Lytechinus pictus: one gene and its partner. The main gene of each other region encodes a partner of the protein of the gene in region 2 in a complex. Links are inferred from orthologs where the notes say so. Each region holds a gene or a part of one and is shown on either strand. Other genes may lie near its edges.

The links.
Region 1: eukaryotic translation initiation factor 3 subunit A-like (region 2) and eukaryotic translation initiation factor 3 subunit E-like share a complex: the UniProt entries of both Drosophila melanogaster proteins name them as parts of the eukaryotic translation initiation factor 3 (eIF-3) complex. The link is inferred for Lytechinus pictus from reciprocal best matches to the Drosophila melanogaster genes eIF3a and eIF3e.

Annotation. Positions count from the first base shown.
Region 1 is NC_087261.1:10,573,097-10,582,148, reverse strand, and holds the start of eukaryotic translation initiation factor 3 subunit E-like, read right to left. Parts: upstream 3,969-9,052; 5' UTR 3,946-3,968; coding exon 3,856-3,945; intron 1-3,855. UniProt on the Drosophila melanogaster protein: Component of the eukaryotic translation initiation factor 3 (eIF-3) complex, which is involved in protein synthesis of a specialized repertoire of mRNAs and, together with other initiation factors, stimulates binding of mRNA and methionyl-tRNAi to the 40S ribosome.
Region 2 is NC_087256.1:10,923,344-10,932,225, forward strand, and holds the start of eukaryotic translation initiation factor 3 subunit A-like, read right to left. Parts: upstream 3,498-8,882; 5' UTR 3,396-3,497; coding exon 3,306-3,395; intron 2,572-3,305; coding exon 2,432-2,571; intron 2,062-2,431; coding exon 1,898-2,061; intron 1-1,897. UniProt on the Drosophila melanogaster protein: RNA-binding component of the eukaryotic translation initiation factor 3 (eIF-3) complex, which is involved in protein synthesis of a specialized repertoire of mRNAs and, together with other initiation factors, stimulates binding of mRNA and methionyl-tRNAi to the 40S ribosome.

The DNA of each region.
Region 1 (9,052 bases), on a different chromosome or scaffold from region 2:
CAGTGCTGATTTTGAAAACTACTATAACTCGCACAAGATGTTCAGTGATACTTGGTTACTCTTATTTCCACGTTTTATGAACTAGACCAATACACTTATAGAGATATGATGGCAATTCAACAAATACCCCCAACGTGGCCAAAGTTCTTTGACCTTAACATGACCTTTGACCTTGATCATGTGACCTGAAACTTGCACAGGATGTTCAGTGATACTTGATTACTATTATGTCCAAGTTTTATGAACTAGACCAACACACTTTCAAATTTATGGCTGTAATTCAACAAATACCCCAATTTGGCCAAAGTTCATTGACCCTAAATGACATTTGACCTTGATCATGTGACCTGAAACTTGCACAGGATGTTCAGTAATACTTGATTACTATTATGTCCAAGTTTCATGAATCAGATCCATAAACTTTCAAAGTTATGATGGTAATTCAACAGATACCCCCAATTCGGCCAAAGTTCATTGACCCTAAATGACCTTTGACCTTGGTCATGTGATGTGAAACTCAAGCAGGATGTTCATTGATACTTGATTAACCTTATGTATAAGTTTCATGAACTAGGTCTATATATTTTCTAAGTTATGATGACATTTCAAAAACTTAACCTTAGGTTAAGATTTTGATGTTGATTCCCCCAACATGGTCTAAGTTCATTGACCCTAAATGACCTTTGACCTTGGTCATGTGACATGAAACTCAGGCAGGATGTTCAGTAATACTTGATTAACCTTATGGCCAAGTTTCATGAACTAGGTCCATATACTTTCTAAGTTATGCTGTCATTTCAAAAACTTAACCTCAGGTTAAGATTTGGTGTTGACGCCGCCGCCGCCGTCGCCGCCGCCGCCGCCGTCGCCGTCGGAAAAGCGGCGCCTATAGTCTCACTCTGCTATGCAGGTGAGACAAAAACGAATGATAACTCGATCTGACTCTCTATATCACAAAAGAAAAAAACTGAAAACAAATGAATTAAATGATTAATGAATAAATATAAATACATTTATTTATCAATATAAATACATTTATTTATCAATATAAATATTGATTTGATTTGATTTATTGATTTCCGTTTCACAACATAAGCATGATAAATATAACAAAACAAGGTGGAAAATACTGCAAGACGTAATAAAATATATATAACATAATCTTAGATTTAAGGAGCACAATTCAATGAATAAAATTACCTAATATGACAATTGTATTTTAAAGTAAAAACGGAGGGTCTTGCCAAAAAAAAGCAAAGCTTGTACAAAAGGCAAGCCCCTAAATAAACTTAGTTTCATTACAAAAAAAAACACTGGGTCGTAATGATATATAGAACTTTAAAAATAAATACAAACAATTTTGGTGCATTTTACGAGAAAAAAAACTGATGTGAGAAATATTTTGTTTTATAGCATTAGGGAGAGAGGGGGAATGTGAGGGGGAGAAGAGGGGAGGGACAGAGAAATGCAGTGTACATAACATAGAAAGAAATCGGGCAACAGGAGCAGGTACTTTGGCTAGTTGCAATTTTAAGAAGAAAAAAGTAATAACAAATAATATACATGTATATACGAGTGTATACGAGCGCATATAATACACGATAGACACAAAAACCGAGTATAAATAAATCAGTTATTCAGCATGATCTGCTTGCAACGAGTATTGCAAAATTAACATTTTTTTCAGTTTGCGTTTAAAAATATTTATATTAGGGGATTCTTTAAAATCTTGAGGCAGAGAGTTCCAGTAGGCGGGCCCGGAAAAGACAAATGAATTCTTTGCAAATAAAGTTCTTGTTAATGGGAGATGATAATATTGTCGTTGCCTTGTTGGGTAATACATTTATACATTTTTACATTTATTAATCAATATATTTATCAATATCAACATTTATTTATCAATATAAATACATATTAATCAATCAAAATAATAGATTGATAAATAAATAAACGAAATTTCACACATGAAAATAATTAAAAACGAATGATACTCTGACTCTCTACCAGTCACAAAAGAAAAAAAACTGAAAACAAATAAATTAAATGATTAATGAATAACTATAAATAGATTTATTAATCAATATAAATACATTAATTAATCAATTAAAATAGATTGATAAATAAATTAAATGAGCTTCCACAAATAAAAAGAATTAAAAACGAATAACTCTGACTCTCTCTATAACAAAAAAAAGAAAGAAAACAAATGACTTAAATGATTAATGAATAAATATAAATACATTAATTAATAGATTGAGAAATAAATAAATGAAATTTTACACATAAAAATAATTAAAAACGAATGATACCTCTGACTCTCTACATCACAAAAGAAAAAAAAAATGAAAACAAATAAATCAAATGATTAATGAATAAATACAAATAAATCCACAAATAAATTTCTGAAGAAGTATTAAATCATTCTCTCCTTAATTGTTTATTTGGAAAATAAGGAGCCCCCCGCCCCTTACAGCGCCGCTCATGATATTCTTTCCTTGTATATTTGGAAAATAAATTGGAGGCTCCCCCTACAGCGCCGCCCATGATAATTCTCACCGGCCGGGGAAACAAGCCCCACGACCACGTTATTTTCCATTATATAACAGTGTAAGGGGCCTCGATAACGAGTATACTACTATAGTCGTCATCCGAGCCCCACACACGTGCGAATGCTGGGAAAAGCGCATTGGACGGGGCCAGTTTCGCGACTATCTTAGGATGCAAGCTTAATATATACTCGTGATATAGGCCCCGCTACTGTGTTGGAGTGTCTGAAGTGCCGTAGTGCGGGGCCTATATAACGGTTATAGTACTATACTCGTGAAACAGGCCCCGCAAACGGACATTCTAAGCCATTCAACACAGCAGCGGGGCCTATATCACGAGTATATATAGTGAGCTGAAGTTAGCAACCTAGATATTGAGGTAGTATAATCGATTACAAGTTTTTCTCGAGCGGGGCCTATATCACGATTTTGCCGAGAGTTTTACTTTTTAGAATGCATTTTTCGTAAATAACGTCTCGTGCACAAGCTACCACAGACTACGAGCCGGGCTGCAGCGGCAAATTTAAAATTGAATATTAATTTAAGGAGGTCGTTCGAAACTAGCTATTCATCGACCATTTTACGTGACAACTAGCTTCGGGGAAGTTAGGGGGCTGAATCGGTTATCTCTGTCCCTTTCTGGTCTCACAAAGGCCATAGTTTGACACTTAATATCTTCACTTTTTGGAAACCTTTGGAACTGGGAGTTGGTATGTTTGCTTTGATTTTGTTTTCTCTTTCATGTCATTGTAAATAAAAATGTGAAGACGTTCAAATAAAAATTTTAGGATTTCAATTTGACCGGCCTATAGTACTAGTAGCCTAAACTTCCCCGAAAAAATGTGCCATATTTTCCCCTAAATTAGCCTGTTTTGTGCTGACACATTTCAGTGTGGCTTCACTGCCTTCAGTCTTCACTCTTCACTTCAGACACCTTATCTCTATCTACTCTCTAGACTCGTCTCCATTTCAAAACACTGCATGCTCAACAAACATACACAGTCATACATAAGGATCTCTTTCATTTTGTGAAAAGATTTTTTAGATTAAAAATATCATGCAGAATAGCTTAACATGTCATGTTGAATCTTGGGCAGTTACTATTCAAATTGAGATCATGATTTATCATATCATCTAGCCTAAGGCTAAGCCAGGGCCTACCATTGCCTACGCAAAAGTGAACACGTCGGACTGTCGAATCCCACATGGGGGCACACAGTTGCGACCAGATGGCACGAAATTCATGATAATTACAACGATTATACAATCCGTATAAGTTTGAGACACCATCTTTGTACATAATACTCACTTCTTGTACTGACAAAAACTCTAACAACGGAAAAACAAGATGTCTATCCAAATATTGTCCGATTTTCGAAGTCAGGTCGAATTCCGCCATCTTGACAGATTCCTTCAATGGATGTGCGCGCGCAGCGCCGCGCCCGCGCGTTCAATCAAAGATCTCCGGCTCCGCCGGACATAGACGATACAAGCTGCGCGCTGGCTACTGGCGACTAATAGCGTGCGATTAAAAAGAAGGAAGAAAACGGCATAAATATTTACCTTCACAAGAACGAATAAAAAAGGGAAATATAATTTTTAAAGAGGATTTCAGCCCCGGCTTCAACCTGAGATTTTACTGACGGATGGTCTATTATCACTTGGTCTAATCATCAGATGGGCTAACAACATTCGGGCTAAACCCACTTAGTCCAATTCTCTTTTGGTCTAATGAGTGACCACTTGGTCTAATAGCCAATTGGTCTAATGACCACTTGGTCTAATAGCCACTTGGTCTAATTTTCATTTGGTCTAATGTATTTTATTGTCACTTGGTCTAATTGCATTTGGTCTAATACCAGTTCGTCTAATAGTCGGTTAGTCTAATACTAGTTGGTCTAATACCAGTTGGTCTAATCCTCACTTGGTCCATTATTCATTTGGTCTAATGTGCAGTTGGTCTAATGTTTAGTTGGTCTAATTTCCATTTCGGCTAATTTCCACTTGGTCTAATTTCCACTTCGGCTAATTTCCACTTGGTCTAATTTCCAGATAGTCTAACATTCATTTCGTCTACATGCCATTTGGTCTAATTCGTAAAGTCTGCATGGTGACTTGTTTTCAATTTTCTGGTGAAATTTTTAAAGTTACTTTCCGCGCGCCGGCTTCGAATCTTCACATGTGCGCCCCTCGATATTGGAGTACAGTTAGAGTGACGTATATTTCGTCTCCAACTGAATTTTGAAAATATGGGGATTTTCGAAAGCCTGTGGGGATGAAAAAAATTATTTGGGGATTATACAAACTTTGGGGATTTTTTGTCTGTTTCAGGGGATTTTTGAAGGTTTTGGTGAAAAACAATCAAATTTGCTATTTTTCTGTAAAATAACGCTAATATAGAGGTGAAAAAATATTATTTTTATTTATTCACCTCTATGTATACGATCTACTGTAGATAGAAACGATGGCTTAACCCAATCATGGTTCCCAACTTTTCAAGAAAACAAAAATCCCTGATATCTCTGATGAAGTTAAAAAATTCCTTGATAATTATTTAAACCCATTCCCAGTTTCACATGTTTTCGAAGTTGTTGCAGTGAATTACATGTATTATTTTTATTTTAGTTATGCATGTATAATGTACCAGTAGGCCTATACTTGTATTGTAGTAGAAGAGGCTACACTAAAAAAAAAACCAACACCATATCATGTCATTCAATGAATGTTGTTTTAAAATACAACAAAATATAACAGACTGTCATGCTTTCGACTTTTGGGCCGATCAAAATTCCCTGATTTTGCCCTCATTTGAGACATTTTTCCCGGATTTGAGGCAATCCCTGACTGGAAAAACGTTTTAAAAATCCCTGATTTCCCTAATGGGGTGGGAACCTTGCCAATCCATTTAAGGAAGAGGCGAAGAAGTAGAACAAAAAACAGAATGAGAAGATATATAAGATGAATGACTGTTGTGGTGATAACTGATAAAGGTCTGCAAGCGTAGACTACATGTATACTATGTTATTACACGTCAGAATTATGTGGCTGCTACCAAGATGGTCGCAGTTATGTTGTCGCAGCTAACCCAATATACCTGTATAGTGTTATCAAACTATATCTAACTTGTCTGTTATTTGCCTCCAAACTAAATATTGAAATAACTAAACAAATGTTCATAACAAAATTACATGATCTAATGACTTTGTAAGTTTTGGTTCCCCCAAACTGCATAACTAGGACATCAAGTTCAAGTATCGTCCGTAATGGTGCATAACAATGATTTAAAAGAGGCATATATATGTTTACCAGATACGTATCCACACAATCAATTACATTATATTTTCGTTCCTTTCTTCATAATAATTTTATTCTGATGAAACCCCGCCATTCGACCATTATAAGCTACAAGGTCCCCAACTTATTGTTCTGTAAATGTGCATGCGGTGATGTAATGATTATGAGTATGATATAATTTTTATCATCATCTTATAATCGATATACAGGCCTAATTATGAGAATTATTTTATTAGAATAATTAGTTTGATGAGCGACTATCTTGTCATCGATAGTCCTTCACGGTGAGGTTTTGCGCCCACCAGCTCTACCCCTCCAGATCCTGGCGATATGTATTAACTGATGCATTGTATTTATCCATTACGTACCATATTTGCTAATTCTAGATAAATAAATAATAATGAATGATGCTATATTAGAATAAATAGACATTAGACCAAGTGTGAATTAGACCAAATGAAAATTAGACCAAGTGACGATTAGCCGAACTGGTCATTAGACCAAGTGGTCTTTAGACCATTTGGCTATTAGACCAAGTGGTCATTAGACCAATTGGATATTAGACCAAGTGGAAATTAGACTAAATGGAAATTAGACCAAGTGGAAATTAGACCAAACGGTCATTAGACCATGTGGCAATTAGACAAAATGATAATTAGACCAAGTGGAAATTAGCCAAAGTGGAAATTAGACCAAGTGGTGTTAGACTAACTGGAAATTAGACTAAATGATTTTAGCCCAACTGCTCATTAGACCAATTGGATATTAGACCAAGTGGGAATTAGAGGAATTGGATATTAGACCAAGTGGAAATTAGCCCAACTGGTTATTAGCCAAAATGGAAATTAGACGAATAGGATATTAGACCAAGTGGGAATTAGACGAATTGGATATTAGACAAACTGGTTGTAGACGAAATGAGTTTAGACTATGTGAAGTTGGACGAACTGATAAGTAGATGATGTGGTATTAGACCATCCGATAATTCACCGATAAATTTGGTTTGGTTAATTAATTAAATATAGAGTTTTTTCTAATGGATTATATTTATCATTAGTCAGCACACCCACTTGTGAACTTTGAGACAAATTAAGCGCCCTATAAAGCGCCCTAAATGTTATTATGATTTATTATTATCATTATTATTATTTTTATTATTATTATTGTTTATTATCATCATTATTATTATTATTAACTAATAGTTATTATTGTAAATAAAAATATCTTTTAATTTGATAATTTTATTTATTATGCAAGCTCCATACGGGGATCATTCGCCAATGGGGGGGAATTACTTTCACCAACTTCCTAATATACTCAGTATAAATGAATGATACGTACATGTATATGTGCCGTGGTTGAGACCCCCAGCCTAAATTTCCGGTCCAGAGCATCAGCAATTCAGAAAACCATAGAAATTCCCATTTTCCCGTCGCGGAGACCCTCGCATTGATACGAGTGGAAACATTTTTCAATAGACGTTAATACGGAATATTCTTTGTTGTTTTTTTGTAATCATAACTGTGATTGGTATCTAACTATACCTGAACAATGAATACGAGCGCGAAGCGCGAGCTGAAAATCATTGATCTTTTGACCTGAAAAAGGAACATTTATCATACTAAATTATTACAGGGAATCACTGATGCAGGGATCTCATTAAATAAATCGATCTAATACGAGGGCGAAGCGCGAACCTGTTTTTTTATTCAACATTAAGATCTTAAGACTGAATATTAATTCTAAAAAATTAATGCGAGCTCGAAGCGCGAGCCGAAAATCATTCAGACCTGAAATCGGGACATTTTAGGGAGAAGTAAGTCCCACGATGCGGATCTATAACTAAGCAATCAATGCAGGCACGAGCAATGAGCTGATACTTACTTGAAAGGGTACAATTTTAAAGAGTATTTTATGAATTCATTAACTTCCTATACGTATCTCATCGGCGTAATGCGTGCGCGAAGCGCGAGCTGATTTTGTTGGTATATCCTCTCCTAAAAAGAGACGATTGTTTGTAAAAATTAATGAAGAGAGTTTTGTATCTATACCTTATCAAATAAAATCGTGATTATAAGTCTTTGTTGATTAAACAAGAAAAAAATAGGATTTTTAGAACTGTTTGTAAGAATTAATAAAGAGTAGCATAATTATCAAAACCCGCGTAGCTATATAGATGAAAAAGCATGCATATGGTATGCGTTTGAAAAAATAAATATTTTAAGGACTGTTTGTTGGAATTCTTGGAAAGAATAAGTATATCACTAATCGAAAATTGGCACGGATACGGTCCACATGGGTTCGAAACTGCATTACCATTGTAATAGGACGGGCGTATATATCACCTTAATCAGTGGTCTTCCTTTTCGGCGACTTTATTCCGTACAGGACAAGTCCATGCACCCCAACAAAAAGTTGATTTGAATAAAAAGAGAAAAATCCAAAAAGCATAACACTGAACATTTCATCAAAATCGGATGTAAAATAAGAAAGTTATGACATTTTTAAGTTTCACTTAATTTCACAAAACAGTTATATATGCACATCCTCTGGTTCGTATGCATGTCATCGTATGCAAATGAGGGAACTCAGTGATGACATCACTCACTCGCTATTTCTTTTGTATTTTGTTATATGAAATATAAAATATTCTAATTTTCTCCTCATTGTCCGGTGAAACAGAATTTTATTTCTCCATGAACATGTGGAATTACCATTGTTTAAAATTTTATGGTTCAGTCATGCAAGTTGGTCCTTATTGTCAAATCTGTAAAAATTGAAATATTGCACTATTCAAACAATAAAAAACAAAAGAAATAGTGAGTGACGGACATCATCGATTTTCTCATTTGCAATATGTGACTTAATTGTGCATAGATCTATTTTGTGAAAAATAAGCGAAACTTTAAAATGTCATAACTTTTTTATTTTACATCCGATTTTGATGAAGTTTTCAGCAATATGCATTTCTGATTTTTCTCTATTGATTCAAATCAACATTTTCCTGAGCTGGACTTAACCTTTAACTTTTACTTTTCTCTATACAAAAAAAGTTGACAATTTCTGTTCATTTTTTGTTTTCTTTTTCTGTATTTGCGCCCCTTACCCAACAAAAAGTTGATTTGAATGAAAGATTTAATAAACAAGTGTTATGTAGAACACTGAAAATCGAATGTAGGATAAGAAGGTTATATTTCTAAATGTCGCTTATT
Region 2 (8,882 bases):
AGCTTTTAACGGTCTGGCGTCATGACGTGCAATTCAAAACAGCTTTTAACGGTCTGGCGTCATGACGTGCAATTCAAAACAGCTTTTAACGGTCTGGCGTCATGACATGCAATTCAAAACAGCTTTTAACGGTCTGGCGTCATGACGTGCAATTCAAAACAGCTTTTAACGGTCTGGCGTCATGACGTGCAATTCAAAACAGCTTTTAACGGTCTGGCGTCATGACGTGCAATTCAAAACAGCTTTTAACGGTCTGGCGTCATGACGTGCAATTCAAAACAGCTTTTAACGGTCTGGCGTCATGACATGCAATTCAAAACAGCTTTGAACGGTCTGGCGTCATGACGTGCAATTCAAAACAGCTTTTAACGGTCTGGCGTCATGACGTGCAATTCAAAACAGCTTTTAACGGTCTGGCGTCATGACGTGCAATTCAAAACAGCTTTTAACGGTCTGGCGTCATGACGTGCAATTCAAAACAGCTTTTAACGGTCTGGCGTCATGACGTGCAATTCAAAACAGCTTTTAACGGTCTGGCGTCATGACATGCAATTCAAAACAGCTTTGAACGGTCTGGCGTCATGACGTGCAATTCAAAACAGCTTTTAACGGTCTGGCGTCATGACGTGCAATTCAAAACAGCTTTTAACGGTCTGGCGTCATGACGTGCAATTCAAAACAGCTTTTAACGGTCTGGCGTCATGACGTGCAATTCAAAACAGCTTTTAACGGTCTGGCGTCATGACGTGCAATTCAAAACAGCTTTTAACGGTCTGGCGTCATGACGTGCAATTCAAAACAGCTTTTAACGGTCTGGCGTCATGACGTGCAATTCAAAACAGCTTTTAACGGTCTGGCGTCATGACGTGCAATTCAAAACAGCTTTTAACGGTCTGGCGTCATGACGTGCAATTCAAAACAGCTTTTAACGGTCTGGCGTCATGACGTGCAATTCAAAACAGCTTTTAACGGTCTGGCGTCATGACGTGCAATTCAAAACAGCTTTGAACGGTCTGGCGTCATGACGTGCAATTCAAAACAGCTTTTAACGGTCTGGCGTCATGACGTGCAATTCAAAACAGCTTTGAACGGTCTGGCGTCATGACGTGCAATTCAAAACAGCTTTTAACGGTCTGGCGTCATGACGTGCAATTCAAAACAGCTTTTAACGGTCTGGCGTCATGACGTGCAATTCAAAACAGCTTTTAACGGTCTGGCGTCATGACGTGCAATTCAAAACAGCTTTTAACGGTCTGGCGTCATGACGTGCAATTCAAAACAGCTTTTAACGGTCTGGCGTCATGACGTGCAATTCAAAACAGCTTTTAACGGTCTGGCGTCATGACGTGCAATTCAAAACAGCTTTTAACGGTCTGGCGTCATGACGTGCAATTCAAAACAGCTTTTAACGGTCTGGCGTCATGACGTGCAATTCAAAACAGCTTTTAACGGTCTGGCGTCATGACGTGCAATTCAAAACAGCTTTTAACGGTCTGGCGTCATGACGTGCAATTCAAAACAGCTTTTAACGGTCTGGCGTCATGACGTGCAATTCAAAACAGCTTTGAACGGTCTGGAGTCATGACGTGCAATTCAAAACAGCTTTTAACGGTCTGGCGTCATGACGTGCAATTCAAAACAGCTTTTAACGGTCTGGCGTCATGACGTGCAATTCAAAACAGCTTTTAACGGTCTGGCGTCATGACGTGCAATTCAAAACAGCTTTTAACGGTCTGGCGTCATGACGTGCAATTCAAAACAGCTTTTAACGGTCTGGCGTCATGACGTGCAATTCAAAACAGCTTTTAACGGTCTGGAGTCGGTTTCATTGGTGTGACTGTAGCATTCCACATTTTTGGAATCATGGTGCCATCTCTGACCCTGATCCTGGACCTACCATCCTGGGCCACGTCCTGGTAGAGCTTCTCCAGTCTGTTGTTGTTCCTCAGCAGGTCCAAGCACTGTCTGTAAGACTCCCAGAGAAACTTGACCCATGGTATCAACACCACACGGTCACTCCTGGCCTGGGCATCCTCTCCACTTACAGCACTTAGGAGAAGACTGCAGGAAGACAAAAACAGTGGGAGAACAAGTCAATAATAGGACCCACTGGTGGGATGCCTATAACATCAGTTGACACTTACTAATGGAGCATTGCAAGGATCTTACATTCAACTGCAAATCGAGCGTTAGTCCCAAAATCAAGTCAAATCGGGCATGCTTATCATATAAAGTTGGAATTAAATGCAAATGAACTACACCTTTGTGTTTAATCAAAGGAAGTGATTCTGATCTCGAGACTTATGCTTTATTTGGAATTGAATAAATTATTTATGCTATGGGTCAACTGTCAAATCCTGAACTTCAACAGTTAAACTTTTCCCAACACTGAAGGTAAGAAACAACAATTCTTTAAAAATTCTCTTCTTACCTTTCTGGGGTGGTAAGATTATCAAGATCGTCAACATCGACCCCAACAACAGCCTCAGAAGCCTTCCTAGCCTCCTCCGTCTTGACTTCAGCAAGCTTCAAGTATTTCCTCACGACATCTTCCAAAGACTTGACATTCACCTAACAGCAAGAACATAACAAGGAGTTAAAATCAACAGAGCATTTCACAAGAGGACTTGTCATATATTTTATCCAATAAGTCCTGTTTTAAATGACAAAAACCATAGTAACAGTGCTTCTCAGCTAATCAAATTCAAGGAAAGACGTCAGATCTGACAACTTATTGGACAACAAGGGTTGATGAAATGCTCCCTCACCTATGAAATTTCTTGATTACACATGAAAAAAAAAAAGGAAATATCTAAGAAAGAAACAATTTCTTATCATTCACTTCAGCTTGAGCAATTGGTGTCAGATTAGTTCACAAATTTGCCACATAATGTGAACAAAAGTTAATAAACAATAGCTGATCAGTGTTTTTCTTATTTCTACAATGTACTAGCAGTACCCAAAATCAAAACTTGAATATTTATTTACGAACTTTAGATTGGTGTTTTGACGTTCTATTATCAAAGAAAAATCAGTGAAAATGGTGTCAAGAGCGGTGGCACAACATTTGGTCTGGCGACAATTGTTCCAGGCTTAATTTCATCTAAGATGTAGGGTTAGGGTTACAATAGGGTTTTATGTGAGGTTTAGGGTAGGGCACATGTATAGTGTTAAACCAAGGGTTGAAGTTGGTCATTTGATTAGTGCGTGGAATTTAGAGCAGAGCAAATGTCATGGAACCGTCAAGAACATCTACAACACATTCAGGAGCCCCCAAAGCATTTCTGCCACAAAAGTATGCCTACCTGTTGACAAATGATCTTGTACTGGTAGAGGCCCTCTTTGGCAATGTGGCTCTTACGTAGGTCAACGCAGAGCTCCAGATACTTCTCCATGATTGGTTCGTGTATCTTCTGCCATGTTCGATGTCGCTTACTCTTGATGACATCATAGAGGGCATCCAAGGCTGGCTGCTTCTTGCCGACATCAATGAACTCTGAGTTGACAAACAGAATCAGTACTCATCTTTATCAGTACAAAGATTATTTCTTTGTTAGATAAATGAAAGCATTATCATTCATTATGAAGCAACCAAAGTAGTTACACAAATTATGTCCCAGCCAAAGTGGAAAGTTGATTTGATGGGGAATTTTAAAATAAAAGGGTGAAAGTTGAAAACAGTAAGAAAGTTATGAATCTTTTTAAGTTGTAAAAAGCAGAGCTGACTTTGTATCTGCCACTTTAAAAAATGTAATTATGGTAGGTTATTTGACACCTGCATTTTCTTCAATACATAAAGTGACGTAAATGTCACTTTTTCAAAAAGACACTCAAAAAAATTATTTCATAAAGGCATGTAATAGTATTCTTCAGACATACATATTATTTTTTCAGGGACTCAATTTTAAGGCGCGCGAGAGCGATCGTGCGCTACATGCGCGCCTTAATCCATTTTAGGTAGCGCGATTAATAGCGCGCCTCGCGATCGCTAAGCGAAAATGCCTGAAGTCGCCCTCAAAATCACCTAAAATCATGCTTTCGGGGACATCAAATCTGAATGTCGCCCCCGAAATTATTGCCGAGTGATAACAACTAAACGGCCCACTAGCGCCATATGCTCGAGCTCCGCTTACCATTTAAAAATCATCCAAAATCCACACTCAAAATCATGAATAAGCCTTGAAAATAGCGAGCGCAGTTTCAATTCGACATAAATTGTTTTCTTTGTTCTCTTATGTTATTTTTTCTATATGTTCATCATTGTTTTTTACTTATATGTATTGACTTTTATACAGTGTATTTGTTTTTATGAAGAATGAAAAAAATAAAAAATAAATAAAAAAATTCTGAAGTTGCGTCTTTTTTTCTGTACCATGTATTTCCATACACATGGAACCAGGTATGACCAAAAAAATCTACGCAACGGTCGGGAAACAGTTGCCTGTATATGGGTCCATTATGACTACCACCATGTGCAATTTCGAATGCACATGTTTCCCCTACAGATAATTCTGTGATAAAATAATTCGAATTACACAGGAAATAAATCCCAGAGTCTAGTAACCTAGCATTGGTGAGTTGTCATTCGGCTTTGCTTTTCAAAACGGCCTATTAACATCCAAAATAAGTTACCTTATTTATTAATTATAACTAAAAAATCATTTGTTTTCTTTTTCTAGGGGATGAGGTAAATATCAGACAATAAATCATCAAACAAAGCTCTATCTATTTTTAACAAGGCCGGCGGCAGGCTCACGCACGAACGCATTGGTGCATGTACTACTACACTAGCCAGTCGGAGCTCTGTCTCTCTGCCAGAGCTCTGGGGTACAATTCGCTCAGTAAAGGCCTCAATGATGGTGATTTTCTGTTTCAGACAGAGTTTACATTTCAGGTACATTATTCAAAACTGCCAATAAAGTTTGATTTCTTAATTGTCATGTATATTTAAGATCTTAATGAATACATTCTCACCAAATTTAGACTCCCCCATAGAGAAATGCAATTTTCATGGAGATCTGCATTTTCAAAGAACTTCAGGAAAAGTTAGGGTATGTGGGCCTCTATATTACATGTACATGGCCGAGTACAGGGTATTGTACTGGAATAGACGGAGTAGAAATTAAATATTGAATTCATTTATATCCAAGTCCAACTCACAGTCACACACACACGCACACATCCACATCCAAGATTCTAAGCATCATGAAAAAATAACTTAAAAAATCATACAATATTAAACAAAAAGTAATAATTCATTAATAAGTGAACAGGTATTCCTCAAAATACAAAAAAGTTGCATTTAAAAAGAGCCCCCGAAATGCAAAAAGTAGCCCCCGAAATTTGACGAAAAATTTGTCAGTGACTTAACTTTTAGCCATAGTCAAAAGTCACTCAAAACCTCACTCAAACAGGTTTTATAACACACAATCTAATTACAAAACATTGTAAAACAATTATGAATATTGCATATTCGATTGTTTCCTTCCTTTGGTTGTTAATTGTAACTTAGTACATAGGCCTATATTTCCTCCATCCGTTTTGTTAATTGGACAAAAAGCTCCCCTTGTATGTTGAAGAAGAGCTTTTTGCAGTGCTCCTCTACCGCTCTCCTTAAAAGTTCTACAGGGAGAGCTTTTTATTGCTCCCCTCATAATTATGTCGGAAAGTGGAATTTTCATTTGGTTGCTTGAGAAGAATGTTCCTAATTTGCATATTATTTTCGTACAGGTGTTTGGAATTCTCTTGATCGGCCGGATCACTGGATAGGGTTAGGATGATCGATGTATGTACGCTCCAAAAATATAATTCTAGTTATTTTCTAATCCTTGTTATGTATTTTAAGGGTTTTAAGGATTTGTTTTCTCGTAATATTGAGTGAAAACAATATATATACTTGTATCTTTTTCATATTGGCTGTTTCAAAGTTTAACAAATCCTTAGCAGAATGATATTTTTTTGGGTGGTTCCGCGACTCCACTGCTTGTTGGCATTTTACGTTAGGTAGATTATTGCACGTCCTGGTTCTGGTGCAGGTCGGACTGCAATCGAAGCAGGCCTGGGAAAGGGCTGATCTGGTCCGACTCATTTGATCCTCCTCGAGTCTTGAGATTTCGAATAATGGTAGAAGCTGCTACTCCTTTGTGGTATCCTGGGTGATGTAGGTGGTGTGTAACCACCAGTAGCCTCTGATTTTGGGGTTGTTGTTTTGTTACTCCTTTCATTTTGTTGGTTTTGGCAAACCTCAATAAAGTCAAAGAAGCTCAGATCTGGTGTCCCGTAGCATCTGTAAAGTTTGCTCCGTTACGGTCTTAATTGGCTAACTCAACCCACCCCCCGACAAAATGGCGACGAGGATGGGATCATCAGATCATGGCTGTGTTCCGATGTCAGCGATCAACCCCAAAGTCAGCGATTGAGGTCTATCGTCCAGAGGTCAGCGACCAACTAGGATGATGGCAGTGAAGTTCTACACATCCAAGAGACTTTAACGTTCTTACTTCGGAGAGGGAATGGTCAACACATGAACATTTGGTAATGAGTTAAAGGTGGTTTAGGTAATCTCAGATAACTATGAGTAGAGTTAATTTTTGATTGTTCATTGATTTACACCACTTTATACATGTGCATAGACCTTCTCTCCCCTTTGTAGAATTATATAGCCCTTGTAACGATGTCACAGTCTGTAGAGGAAATGGTGTCAGTCCTTACCCGGGCACTGCAAGGCTTGAATATTCAACGTGCTCCCCCACCAGTGAAATTGTCTAAATTTAAGGGTCCACCTAAAGTCGCTGGAGACTTATCTCTGGAAGAGTGGCTTGAAGAGTTTTCCAGTTATACTACTCACTATCAGTTGTCTGGAGAGGCAAAAGCACAGTCGCTTGTCGATCATTTGGCTGGAGTTGCCAAAGAAGAGGTTCTATGCCGAGATGAGGATGTGCGAAAGGATAGTGATCAAATTATCAACGTTTTACAGTCACTCTTTGCAGCGTCAGAGTCGGTACCTTCACTAAGTCAATCCTTCTACAATAGACGACAACAAGAGGGCGAGAGTTTGGCCGACTACAGCCGGGCCTTGATGAGGTTGTACGATCGCATGGAGAAAGCTGCTTCCAGTACAGAAGATAAGAATGCTTTGAAGAGGCTCAAAGATAGCTCGCTGAAAGAACGTTTCGTTTGTGGAGCTAAAGAGAAGTGGGTACAACGAGAGTTAAGACGAATTGAAATGTCTTCAAAGAGTAAGAACTTTCTTGAGATGAGATCTGAAGTGCTTGAATTTTTCTCTGGTCAAGAACCAAGAAGTTCACCACGAGTTCATGAAGTGTATGCTGAGCGTGCTGACATGTGTTCTAGTTTTCCCAAGCAAGAGAAAGAACAGGAACAGTCGGATGTCAAAGCTGAATTGGCAGATCTAAGAAGAGAAGTAGCTCAGATTGCCAAGAGTGTTCAGGCTCTTACTCAGTATACTCAAACTCCTAAGAAGATCAAGAAGAAACTCAAGTGTTACAACTGTCTTAGAGAAGGACACACAAAGAAAGACTGTACAGAAGAAGTGGTCTGTTTTAACTGTCATCAGACTGGTCACATGGGTAGAGAGTGTCCGAAGAAGAGCACAGTTAGCAATCATCCTACGTCTGAAACTAGTGCCAGTCCTACATCGCATTATGTACCAACTGCCAATTTAGGGACTGTGGGACCAGCAGAGTCTAAAGAGAAAGCTAAATCAAACCTTGTTGAGAGATTTGTTGCTAAAAGTCCATGCTGTAACATTCTCATTGGAGGAGTAGAGATTGGCTGTGTAGTTGATACAGGAGCCGAAGCATCTATCATACCTTTGTCCTTGTATGAGAGCAAGCTGAAGTGTCGTATTGGAGAGCTTCAGAAGAGCGAAGGAATCTTTCTGCACGTGATTGGAGTTGGAGGGGTAGAGTTGCCTATTGTTGGTTATGTTGGGTTACCAATCAAGGTAAAAGGAGAAGAATTGATGGGTAATTTTCTGGTAGTGTCAGATCGAGCACCTACTGTGGAACATATGAGGTACCCAATCCTTCTTGGCTCCAACATATTGCAACACATAGCAGAATACAAGCCACTGTATGATAAGTTGAAGAAAGAATCCCGTAACCAAGAGCAAGAAACTGATGTTCACATTGGTTCTGTTCGAATTTATACCGTAATTGAAGACACCCTACCTCCAGGCGTAGAGATAAAAGGCCTAGACCCAGTTGAAGAGGCAGCTGTAGCTAGCTTACTGCATAAGCACAAGAATGTATTCTCTAAGGGAACATATGATGTAGGTGTATGTGACCTCATTCCACATGAGATCCGATTGACTGAAGGTCCAGATATTAGGTTACCATACAGGAGAATTCACCCTTTGCAAGTAAAAGAAGTGAAAGAGATGCTACAAGAGATGGTAGACCAGAAGATTATACGTCATTCAAAGAGTAGCTTTGCCAGCCCTATCGTATTGGTTAGAAAGAAGGATGGTAGTTTGAGGCTATGCATAGATTATCGCAAGTTAAATGATCGTACAGTGAAAGATTCATTCCCTCTACCAAGAATTGAAGAGACTTTGGAAGCATTGTCTGGGTCGAAGTATTTCTCAACTTTGGATTTAGCACATGGTTACTTCCAAGTCGTGATGGATAAGGACTCAATTGATAAGACCGCTTTTCGAGTCCCATGGGGTCTGTATGAGTTTATGAAGATGCCCCAAGGTCTTACCAATAGCCCATCTACATTCCAACGAGTGATGGAGTGCATATTAGGAGATTTGAATTTGTCTCAGATACTACTCTATTTGGATGACATCTTGATATTCTCAGAGACATTTGAAGAGCACCTACGTCGTCTAGATACAGTTCTTTCAAGGTTGCATG